Coturnix japonica: one gene and its partners. The protein of the gene in region 1 interacts with the protein of each later gene in a pairwise test. Links are inferred from orthologs where the notes say so. Each region holds a gene or a part of one and is shown in the gene's direction. Other genes may lie near its edges. The genes, in order: LONRF1, KCTD9 and TRIM42.

Region 1 (4,196 bases):
ACCTAAATCCAGACAATGTATTTTGGATGCATAAAGTCCCAAGCTTCCAAGAGAAATGAGGACAGCTACGAATGTAGAACAGAATGTGTCACAAACATGAGCAGACAGTAAAGGCTTACAGTGAGAGTAAGCACTGCTCACATAAAGAGTAAGCTGTGAAGGAAGATACTAAAGATAGCTCTCTAAAACTGGTGGGAGCAGGATAGTGTCAGGCTCCCTATCAATCCATTCATCCATCCTATCCAAAAGCTGATTTGACAATAACGTTCAAATGATCAGTATGAATGTTAACACGTGAACCTTTAAAAATGCACTGGAAATGAATTTACACCCTATTTCCTAAAGGGTTTTCCTTTAAATCCCTTCTTGTCTCCCTGAAACTTTGTCCTCATATTTCCTCCTAAGTCTAAAAAAGATGCGATAACCACTGAAACTACCCATGATTCCAACCATTCTGCCTTATCCCACCACCATTCAAATCCACACTCCAAGCATCTTTTACTTTGATCTTTCCTTAGGCTGCCACTTCCTAAGTCACGGCGACTATTTTAACGAATAACCACTTCAAGACTCTGCTCTCTCTTCACATTTAAAAGCCATCCACGTTCCCCCTTGATATTTCAACTAACAAAACATCTTTTAGGAAGCAGAAAGGCACCAGAAACATAAAGGATGGGGTTTAGAGAGAATGAGTTCTGATAATACACCTGGATGTCACACCATGGATTCCATACTTCCTTTAGAGGCTAACAAACACGTGGAAACCCTCAACATTGTATCATGAAAAGAGACTGTAATTATAGCTGATCCGGGACATCCCAAAAACACTGAGCTCGCTATTTTATGCTCCCGGAAAACTTAGTAGTTACAGCACCGTGTGACCAGCTCTACCTCAGCCATCCCACAGGCACGATACACAGCCAACAAAAAGCGGTCGAGAAAACCGGCTGCTCCCCCTCCCACCGCCCCCAGCAGCGCTGCCATCGCCCGACCCTCACCGGAGCTGGAGGCGCTCTGAGGAGCGGCACCGCCTATAGGAGCCACAACCCGAAGCGGCGGGACCGACCCCTCTCCCAGGGGACACCCCCTCCCCTCGTCCCCCGCTCCCCCTGGAGCCGGGGCAGGGCAGCACCCGACGCTGGTTCCCTACGGGCCGGCCGCGCCCACCCTCACGCACCGCCCCCTCCTGCCACCCGCCCAGCCCCTCCCGCCCTGTTACGGAACGCGCGCGGCGCAGCGTTTTGTAACCGCCTCGCTCCCGCCCCTGGAGCGCCCACCAATGGCGATCCGGCCCGGCGGTCAGCTGACACGGCTCTTTATGTAAGCGGCGGGGCGAGGTCGCGCTGAGACGTTAGAAAGGGGCGGGACGGGGCGGCTCGTACGGCCGGGCAGCTCGTACGGCCCCGCACCTACCGCTGCCCCGGGGCGCGCACGTGACACGCCCCCCTGACCCCACCCCTCGCGGAGGGTGCCTCGCTTCCTCCCCCGCCCCGCGCCGCCAGTGCCTCAGCGCCGTGCGCAGCGCCGGGCCCGCCGGCCGGAGCGGCAGCGCCACACCCCCCTCGGCCGAGCCGGCAGCCGATGGCGTTCTCTCCCGTGGCCGTGGGCTCGGACGCGTCGCCGGAGCCGGGAGGCGGCGGGCGACTCGGCGAGGAGGCGGATGCGGAGCGGAGGGGCCGCCTGAAGGAAGCGGCGGGTTCGTCCCTGGCATCGCTGTGTCTCGGGCCGCTCGCCGGCCCGCGGCGCTTCGGGACCCTGGTGGAGTGCCTGGTGCTCAACTACCGCCTGCGGCAGGGGCCGGGCCGCGGCCGGGAGCGCGGCGTCGAAAGCGCGGCCGAGGGACCGCTGCGCTGCTGCGGCTGCGGGCGCTTCCTGAGCGAGCCGGTGACCGTCCCGTGCGGGCACACCTACTGCCGCCGCTGTCTGCGGAGGGAGCTGCGGGCCCGCTGCCGCCGCTGCCGGGACCGGCTGCTGCCGGCGGGAGGCACCGGCTCGGCCGCCGCCCCGCTGCGGACCAGCGTGGTGCTGAGCCAGCTGGCCGAGAAGTGGTTCCCGAGAGAGTGCGAGCGGGCGCGGGTCGGCGGGCGGCTGGAGGAACTGCTGGCACACGGCCGATACCGAGAGGCGTTGGGCGCCGCCGGGCAGGCGCTGCGGGCAGGTGAGCGGGGGGCCGGGGTGGGACAGGGAGGGATGTGCCCGGCACGCCGTCCCTCAGTGCTCCGAAGTTTTCCAAGTTTGCTGAGCGGACGCAGGGAGCCTCCCCCTGGGCTGAGGTGCGCTCCGGTGCCTCCTTCCCGCCGCGCTGACCGGGCTCGGTGCGTCCCTTGGCGGCCGCGCCTCGCGTAACCCCGTTTCCTGACAGAGACCTATTTCCAGCGGCTCCGTCGGGCCGGGCCCGGTTGCATAAGCGTGAGGCACGGCGGGGACAGGTTGTGTAATGGCGGTGACATCATGGCGGGCGGGGCCGCGCCCCGTCTGGTGCCGGGCGAGGCTGCGGGGGGCGGGCGGGGCCGCCGGGCGGAGCGCCGTATGGCCGCGGCTTTGGGCGCCCTGCGGGCTCGGCTCGGGGGCGGATACACCTGGATGGTGCTGGCACCGTGACCCGCCGTGTTGGCGTTGTGCAGCTGGGAGTTTGTCGGCAGCCCCGCAGGTCCCGTTTCCTGTTGTAAATATTGGGGCTGTCGGTAGAGCTTTTTATTTGTTCAGAAGTACAACGTTGATTTACACGGGTCATAAGGAAATTTGTTGAAACCTGCGTGAGAAGTTAGTGATTCTCACCACGTTGCTTTTGAAAAGCACGAGGAATGGTAACGTTCGCATAGGTTACGTGTGCTGCGCAGGGATTGGAAGGAATTACCTTATGTAAAAGAAGGCTTTAATCCCAACGCGCCCGAGGTTGAGCACAGTCACAGACCTGTTCCTGCTGAAGGGGCCTTAGGAGATCTGTTCACCAACCCCGTGTTCAAAGTAGGGCAAACACAGAGTTAGAACAGTTTGCTGAAGGCTTTGTCCCATTGGACGATGAAAACACCGCCAGGATGAAGATTCTGATGCTGCTTGGGATAACATGTTCAAAGCTTAAGTACCATCGTTGTGAAACATTTTCTGCTTGTATAGAGGCAGAAATACTGTCATTCTGGTTTATAACCGTTGTCTCTTGTTTTTCCCCAATGTGTGTGTCAGATCTAGGCAACCTCTTGTGGGATTTCAGGAGGCTGCTGGGTTCCCCTGCTGCCTCCAGTGTTTCCTCATTAAACAAGACCAGTTAGCTCAGCCTATTCTCAGGTGTTCCTACCCCAGACCATTGGAACGACCCTGTCGTACTGCATTCATACATACCGTGTCCTGTAGTTCTTCTGAACACCAATACAAAGTGTGCAGCTTTTATTTTTGAAGAATTTTGTGTATTTTTAAGAACCAGGTAAAAAGCATGTAGGACCTGACCAAAAGCAATTCATTTACAATATGCTTGTGCTGACAGTAGGCAGAAGCAGTAATATCCAATGCACGTTTTTCTGCCCAGAAGATGTTCAGTATCTTCTTGTTTTTTAGTTACAGTAACTTGTATTGATATGCCAGGAGTGAGTGATATATTGGGCTGCTAAAATTGACTGTTCAAACAAACTCTTTCTGGTTTAGTTAATATCCGATAATGGAATTTAGATAGGAGGGCTGCTCCAAAAGTAATGCCTTCTATTTTACCATGCTGGCCCATGATTTCAGAGGCAGGTGATGATATGGCAGTAGGGGTTGTTCCATCCTGCCAATATTCAATGACATTTTGTTGCCATGCAACAGATAGTAGGACTTGCTGAATGTTTATAGAGACCAAACATTGGATGTCAGCACAGTAAGGCAGTGGGTGGTGCATTTCAGCAGGGACAACAGAGACATGAGACAAACCCCATTCTGGATGGCCATGCAGATTTTTAAGTGCACAGCATGCGGGTTCCCCTTCATTGCTGGCGAAAATGCTTAGCTTTTGGTGACTGTGTTTAAAATATATATATAGTGTTCCTCAGCTGAGAATTTTTCCTATGATGTTATTGTACTTGTTGTGAGTGTTGTAGTTTCCATGGAAATAAATAGGAGGCATTACTTTTGGAGCAGTCAGTATGGTTTTCCATCACCATTGTAAGACTTTTTTTCCACAATGCAAAGCCTAGGAATTAAATTCTCAGTTTAAAAAGCTCTCA
Region 2 (4,089 bases), on another chromosome or scaffold:
ATCAGCAGTTGTTACAGTTGCAAAATCGACACTTTTTCTCCTCTGTTTCTCTGCTAATTCGCAATAGGATTTTTCTTCTGCTTTGAGCCTTGCAGGCGTTGAGTAGCACTCATCTCCCAAAGGCACGGATCTACCTGAAACATTCTCTTTGCTGCTCAGAGGCTGGGCAGCTTCACCAACCACAGCCCTTTTTGGAGTATCTAAGGGACATTCTGACCACTGATGGCTCTCAGCATCATGATACAATTCCTGCTCTTGGCCTTTGGTTCCATTGCTTACGTTCTCTTTCTCAGATGCCATTTCAGGCTCAGTCACTTTGCAAACCTTCCACTCTTCTAATGGGGATCTCTTCAGTCACTGCAAGATTTCTTCTCTCATTGCCTTCATCTTCCAGCACAGCATCTCTAACCTTTGATGACAACGTGTTTTAAGCCCGAAGAAGCACAAAGTTATTCACTTGCCTCCAATAACAACAGCTCCCTGTTAAAAAATGACAAGTTTTAAGTCATTTGATAAGGAAAACAGCCCTGTAATGATATGAAATGACTGCAGATCTAGAAAACCACTTGGGGAGGGGGGAAAGGGGAAGAATAGGGAAAGCCTTATGGTAAGAGAAGCACAGAAGCTTGGCTATGGGTAAGGAAACACAGGCTTATGCTTTTATTTTGTGGTAAATATATACATTTAGCGTTTAAATGCCCGTTTTAAACGCAATTGAGGTATGAATAGTATAAAGGGGAAGGGGAAAGGGGGGGGGGGTTCTTTAGGTCTCTCACATCTTTCGCATTACTGGGTTTCTCTCAGGTATTAAAGCTCAGGGAAACAGGCCACAGCAGCAGCTCACGAGAATACGCGTTAGGTTCCACGGACCGGGCTGTTTAAGGCAATAAGGGCCATACAAGGGCCATACAAGGGCCATACAAGGGCCATTACCACAGACCCCCCCCCCCCCCACCTCAGCCGCCATCCCCGCTCTCCCCTCACGTTCGAACCGCGGAGCCATCAATGACCGTTACGCGCCGCGCCGCCATTTTGAATTGCAACGGTCGCCGTCCACGTGACAGCGCGCACCAATCGCGAGCAGCGTTTGCTTTTAAGCACCCAACTCCTGTTTTTGATTGGCTGCTGGTACCTCTGCTTCCGCCCACTCGTTGTTTCCCCGCCCCTCCTGCGAGGCGCGTTTCTCATTGGCCAGCGGCTTGGCTGCGATTGGTTATAGCTCCTGTCGCTCAGAGAGCGCTGACTTCCGGGTTTGGTGGCAGTATGAGGCGGGTCACGCTGTTCGTTAACGGCAGTCCCCGGAACGGGAAGGTGAGGGGTGGGGGGGTTGAGGCCTGTGGGTCGGATTTGGGAACCTGAAAGTGAGTTTCTGAGGTTGTTCTATTTTCCTCTGCTTGCTTTGGGACTGGAGGGCTGCCTACTGTGGCCGTGATTGGGGTAGTGGGGTCTGAGGGGCCGGGTTGAGGCCTAGGCCTGTGTATGGGGCAGCACTGGGCCTAGGCCATATAGGACCCATAGACCCCCATACAGGCCCCCATAGACCCCATACAGGCCCCACAACCCCATATGGGCCCCATAGACCCCATACAGGCCCCACAACCCCATATGGGCCCCACAACCCCATATGGGCCCCATAGACCCCATACAGGCATAACTGCTCTTCAATGCAGTTCAGCTCCCATTTAGTGGTGCTGTGCTGATAGAAACATGCCCTGAGCACATTAGGGATGTGCTGAGGTCTTCCTGTGCTGTGCTTTCTGTTGGGTAGCTGATAAATAACCTTTTTTTCTGCTCAAAGCTGTGAAGCAATGTCTATAGCAAAAGCATATCAGGTTTTAAGGCCCAATGCTGCTCTGGGATGGTAGCAGCCCTAATGTGGTTTCCTTCTCTTTGCAGGTAGTGGCTGTATATGGCACGCTGTCAGATTTGCTGTCTGTGGCGAGTAATAAGCTGGGGATCAAAGCAACCAGTGTTTACAATGGGAAAGGTGGGCTCATCGATGATATTGCCTTGATTAGGTAAGGTTGATCCCATAAATGCCAAGTCGTGGATGGAGATTAATAGCTTGTTAATGCTCTTAATAAGGGCAGGACCATCTTTCCTGTGAGGAAAGGCTGAAGGAGTTTGGCTTGTCTAGCTTGGAGAAGACTCCAAGGAGACCTCATTGTAGCTTTTCAGTAATGGAAGGGAGTTTACAAGCAAGAGGAGGGACTGACTTTTTACATGTTGTAATAGGACAGAAGGAAATGGCTTTAAAATAAAAGATGAGATCTAGGTTGGATGTTGCTGGGTGGGGCCCTGGACAGCCTAATCTGATGGGGGGCAAGCAGCCCACAACAGGGGTACTGGGGATCTTTAAGGTCCCTTCCTAAGCCATTCTATGAATAACAAGTGATTACCATAAAACCAGAGATTATTTTTGAAAAGGAGACAAACTATGGTATGGTTTTGGCTTCATGTAACATAAAGCACCTCAGAGTGGGGAGAAAAGGAACTATTTCATAAAATTAAAGCTGCTGAATATCAGAAGTGATCCCTACCTGGCTGATACAAGTCTCTATTGGTAGCATTTCTAGTGCAGCTGGTAAAATTGCAGTCATCTGGAACCTGCGAAGTTAAGAGAACAATCAGATTCTTGATTCTAACTAATGGAATCGGATTATCATATACCTGAAACTAATCAGGAGAGGATCCCAATGTTACTTAGATGAACATATAGCTGTTTAATCAATTTTTTCCTGTTTTTCTTCCCTCTGCCCTCTCCCCTTCCAGGGATGATGATGTTCTGTTTGTATGTGAAGGGGAACCGTTCATTGGTAAGTCTTTAACTCTTCAGCCTTCTGTTTACTTAGGCAGATAGTAACAGGACAAGGGGGGATGGATTTATGCTAAAAGAAGGAATAATTAGGGTAGCTGTTAGGAGAGTAGTGAGGCCCTGACACTGCTGTCCAGGGGAGCTGTGTGTGCCCCAGGCCAGGCTGGATGAGACCCTGGGCACCCTGATTTGATGGGAGGCAGTGGCAAGGGATGGGTGGGCTTTGAGGTCTCTCCAACCCAAGCCATTCTATGCTTCTATGCTTTGCTTTAGTGTAAATTTTGACCTGTTACCATATGGAGGATTCAGAAATGTTCACAATTCTAACATCTGTCTTCTCATCACCTGTGTAGATCCTCAGACTGATGCAAGACCTCATGAAGAGCTAACGGGGGCACATACAGACTGGCTAACACTCAATGTTGGAGGTCGATACTTCACCACCACACGGTAAAAATGAGGCTAGTTGAGCTGGAATTACCTTCAGTAAGGTTGCTATAGTAGCTGGGCTGTGTTCAGGTACTGAGACTTTAGATGCTCTTGAGAAAGAACAAGAAAAGTCTTTTGCTGTGGAGTAGGAAATCTTTTGCAGCTTTTTTTAGTATTAGGCATTTGTTGCCACCATAAACAGTTCACATATGTGCTGACAGTGGTGAAAAGCCTGAGCAGGTCTGCATTTATCCCTGGAACATTTCAGCTAATGAAGTGCTTTCTATTTGAAGTACTTTTGGTACACCTTAGATCAGAAGTGTGCTTTATCTCCTCTGAAATCAAATTAGCACAGAGTTGGAATGCATATCATGCACCGTTAATTACCTTCAGTGTGCCAAGGAAATGCATTCCTTCCAGCATATTGGTCTTATAGCAAAACTTTCCACTTGAAAAATAAAACTGCACTGCCTTTCTTTTCTAGGAGTACTTTGGTTAATAAAGAACCTGACAGTATGCTGGCCCACATGTTTAAAGATAAAGGTTAGTATCTCAAAACTCTCCCTTTAAGCTAACAAATTAGCCAAACAGGTAAAAGGCATTATTAAGTTAAAGCTCTTGTTTATGTGTTGAAGTATTAAAAGTATGTTAAAGCATCAAAGCACTACTTATGATCATTTTCTCTAGTTGTCTATTTAACCTTTGTTCATATAGTGTTTATCTCACACATTGAAACTAAAACTCCCATCCAGAGCTAATACTTTATAATAGAGTCTGTTTTTCTAGTTTAGACTTTTCTGGCTGTTGCATTTTACTCTGTTTCAAATGAGATGTATTTACCAACC
Region 3 (4,073 bases), on another chromosome or scaffold:
ACAGAAAAAAAGTCTTACTGCTGATAAAACTAGAAAGACAAGTGGTATAAACAACATCCACTGAATGTCCAGGCTATGCCATTCAGCACACAAATCTAATACTTCTGTGTGAAAATCTGATTGACATAATAGACTATAACCGTTGCAAAGAACCCATTATGTCCCATCATGTAGATGGCTGCATATAATGATACAGCCATTGTAGTCTGTAAGGCTCTGGATCAGTGAATTAGAATTTCTTTATGTAGAACAGACTTTCAGCAAATAGGATCAAGACCCATTTTAGTAATTCCCAGTTATGCATTCACCCATCATCACAAGCTGAATTACTAAATTTCAGGAAAACTCAGATACATAAAGTACAGCAGCCACTTATAAAAAGCAGCATTATTGAGTATGTATCATAAAGCTATCACTGTCCTATAAAAGTTTCCAGTAAGAGAACATGCTTTTTCAGATGTCAGCTGCAGGCAACTTAGTGGGTGGCTCTTGTTTTAGTTAGACGTAATCATTACAGTAAACTACTAGTATGCACTTCTGAGAAGTTCATGTATTTTTTACAATAATTTCATTTTTATTTAAAATTATAATCTCTGCAAATAGACAAAAGCACTATTTAAATCTTCAAATAAATTAGCTAAACAAAAGAAGAAAAAGGCGCTTGATATGAAGTAACTAAAGAATTAGGCCTAATACTGCATTTATAGAAGAGTGGTCAGGATAAGGGAGGTGAAGAAACACACTTGGACTTAGAGGGGGAAAATGCAAGTCCACTGTGAATGAGCACTGAACTTGAGCTCCAAGGATGGTTCCTTCCCCAAGTCTCGGAGGACCAAATGCCATACACTGTTCAAGCGCATCAACACTGACAAAGACTTATTACAGTTACAGATAAAAGACATACTCAAAGACGCATATCAAGTGTAAGTTTCCTTTACGTGTCATAGCTATATTTGAAGCCAACAAAATGACTGTAAAGTGTGTAGTTCTAACAAGACTGTTGCCTTGGGATAGCTAATCCCACTGCACAAACTATTCATGCTATTAATGGAGAGTGAGGTAAATGCTGTCTATGATTTCAAGAACAATTAGAAATATCATGACATATAGATGTTGTAAATCAGCATACAGAGCGTGTATAAAATGTGTATAAACATGTATATAGTACCCTGCCTGCATCCTTATTTGAATACATCACTGTGACATCACATTCCATTTAGAACAACATGCACTGCCTACAGCACAGACCTTAACCCTAGAGTCAGACAGATCTCTTGCCTTGTAGGAACCCAACTGCAATAATTTGAAGAGAAGCTAAAAGGATAAATGAACTTTCTTTCAGCTGTATAATGGAGGGATAGATGAAAATGGATATATGCTCATGCTTCTCAAACTGCTGTAATCTGACTTGCCACAGCGTAAAGAAAGAATGCCGCTCATCTTGGCGCTTCCTCTTTACAAATGAGCAGTACTGCAGCTGTTTTCCGTGCCCATACGAAGAGGACAAATCTTACCAGTGCTGCCACTGCTCATGTTCAGAGCATGCAAATTGCTGGTGGTGCTGTTGCTCTTGCTCAAGTAACCCAGACTGCAAATGCTGCTGCTGTGGTGGTGAGAATTCAACGTGTCAATACTATGCAAGCAAATGCTGCAGAATCTATGTCTTTGAACCACGATGGTCAAGAGCACCAGGGACTGCTCAGTAAGTGGAATCAAGGGCTTTTAGTTTTTATAGGTTTAAATTTTTCTAATTTTCATTCCATCTTAATGGATGTCTTGCATTTAGAAGTATAAGATCCAGTGGCTCAGTGGAGTATTTCAAACCACAGGATATCATTCTTTCTTAAAAGCAAAAAAAAACTTTTTTTTTTTTCCCTACCATTCTCTAGAGTGACAAGAAAAGAAATAGCATGGCTGAACATCTGGGCAGAGAAGGTGCTAAACTGAAGCATGGCAGAAGGCCAGATTGTAGTCTCCTAGAATCAGGAGTACATCCTGAATAATGATGCTCTTTGCCAAGGATATAGAAAATGGCCAGGATCATTATAAAAGTAATACTCTTTTTTTCAAACAATAATGTCCACTGGCTAAGAGGAAAGCCAGGATAATCAAGATTTAAAGAGAACGCAGAGAATCAGTTATTTTCTAAAATACAAGAATTATTCTAATTTTAATAAAAATATCCAAATTTTGATTCTTTCATGTTAATTGCCAAAATTTTAATGATGTAAGACTGCTGCTAAGAATAATCTTCATTTGTTTTAAAAATCAGAAATAATGAGTGATTTTTTAAAATAATTAAAATTTAGGATCCTTCTATGTAAATGTGTGTTGTTATTTTAAATTGAAAAGTTTTTTCTTTTTCATTTTATTTATTTTTGTGTTCTGTTTATAAAAAGAAGCAAATGAGAAGGAGACAAAAACACATTCCAGACTGCAGTAAACCAAAATGAAATCTGTTTTTTGGACACCAGTATTAACTCAAGAAATTCAGAGAGACTTGACAAGAGTAAGATTTCTGCCTACTCACATTGTTGGAAACAGCATTCAAATACACTGAAATAGTTACGAAAATGAAAAGAATGAATTCTTAGTATTGTTAACTTAACTGTTTAAATAAAATATCCTGTCCAAATAAAGGGACGGTTGGCATGCAAGATGGATCTGCTTATTTTATCATTCTGTTTCTTAGATTGTGCACTGATATTCTGCCTTACATTTTCATTTGTTTGCTTCCCCCCCCCCATTTGATTTGCTTAAGGTCAGGAGATGTCACATCAAGATTAAGAACTAGATATAGCACATCTGCCAGTATACCAGAAAGGAAAGGCTCCAGCCAGGCTTTTCGTGACCAGCTTGCCTGTCCACTGTGTAAACAGTTATTTCTCCAGCCACTTATGCTGCCATGCAATCACTGCATTTGTGAGAAATGTATAATAAAAAGCAAGACCAAAGCTGAAGCAACAGAAAATTATTACATCATCATATGCCCGGTGTGTAGCAAAGCTCATTGTCTCCCTTGCACAAACAAAATTCAGCTGAGGAAGAATTACCTTAGAGCAAAACTAGCCAAGAAATACATGCGCAGACATGGCATTCTGAAATGGAGATTTGACCACAGTGTAGGACCAGTCCATTGTGAAGCTTGCAGGGAGAGAAGAAAAGTGGCAACTAAAAGATGTAAAACATGTGGAATGAACATGTGCAATGAATGTCTGCATTTATATCATGCTGAGAGTGGAGCTGAAGACCACATTTTTACCAGTGCATCTCAAGAAGATAACGAACAGTGGGCATGCTTACTGCACCACAACTCACACCTCTCTGAATACTGTCTGGATGACCACAAACTGATCTGTTGTTTCTGCAAGAATTTGCAACACAGTGACCATGAGACCATCCCTTTGGCAGCTGCGTGTTCAAGAGAAGCTGCTTCTCTCTCCAATACAATTGTAAAATTTAAAGAAGGTTTGTATTTCTGCTGCTTCTTACACTTCCCTATGCCATTGCAGGAAAGATACTTGCACATACACTTGATGAGCCACGTTAATTCTTTGAATATCACAAAAGGCAGAAAGATGAACCATTCCCACTGTGGAAATACAGAGGAAAGAAGCCTTTAATTGTGTGGAACCACATGACAAATTCAAATACTAGAGAACAAAGGATTTGTATGTGAGATAGTGCATCTTGGTGTAGGAAACTCCATTTCATACTGCGAGACCCAGTGTGAAACAACCACAAATTACACCTACATTTTTAAATCAGAAGTACATGCCTTTTTCCCTGCAGGCAAATTATGAATTGTCTCTCTTCAGTCAGTATTATGATTGTGTCCATGCTGAGTAAGAGGCAAGACAGCCTCAATGTTCTGAGGAGCTACAGCAATGTCACTTCCTTTATCTAAGAGTTCATCCATAGTGTCTGAGTGACAGTGCAGAGACTGGGATTTTATGAATTTCTTTTAAATACTTTGATTTTTGCATATAACACCACAAATGCTGGGGACAGACAAAGTTGCACAGAAAACAGAATTTGGAAAGGTGATAGTGAACCACATGCAGTGAGAAATA

The links.
Region 2: the proteins of LONRF1 (region 1) and KCTD9 interact in binary tests that used the Homo sapiens proteins (3 or more experiments, as listed by UniProt). The two-hybrid records come from large-scale screens. The link is inferred for Coturnix japonica from reciprocal best matches to the Homo sapiens genes LONRF1 and KCTD9.
Region 3: the proteins of LONRF1 (region 1) and TRIM42 interact in binary tests that used the Homo sapiens proteins (3 or more experiments, as listed by UniProt). The two-hybrid records come from large-scale screens. The link is inferred for Coturnix japonica from reciprocal best matches to the Homo sapiens genes LONRF1 and TRIM42.

What each region holds. Positions count from the first base shown.
Region 1 is NC_029519.1:58,363,002-58,367,197, forward strand, and holds the start of LONRF1 (LON peptidase N-terminal domain and RING finger protein 1), read left to right. Parts: upstream 1-1,340; 5' UTR 1,341-1,581; coding exon 1,582-2,158; intron 2,159-4,196.
Region 2 is NC_029537.1:1,992,440-1,996,528, forward strand, and holds the start of KCTD9 (BTB/POZ domain-containing protein KCTD9), read left to right. Parts: upstream 1-1,214; 5' UTR 1,215-1,263; coding exon 1,264-1,311; intron 1,312-1,896; coding exon 1,897-2,018; intron 2,019-2,772; coding exon 2,773-2,816; intron 2,817-3,168; coding exon 3,169-3,265; intron 3,266-3,728; coding exon 3,729-3,787; intron 3,788-4,089. Other genes in the region: CDCA2 (cell division cycle-associated protein 2), read right to left, coding at 1-300. UniProt on the Homo sapiens protein: Substrate-specific adapter of a BCR (BTB-CUL3-RBX1) E3 ubiquitin-protein ligase complex, which mediates the ubiquitination of target proteins, leading to their degradation by the proteasome.
Region 3 is NC_029524.1:5,100,715-5,104,787, forward strand, and holds the start of TRIM42 (tripartite motif-containing protein 42), read left to right. Parts: upstream 1-1,209; 5' UTR 1,210-1,361; coding exon 1,362-1,702; intron 1,703-2,761; coding exon 2,762-3,468; intron 3,469-4,073.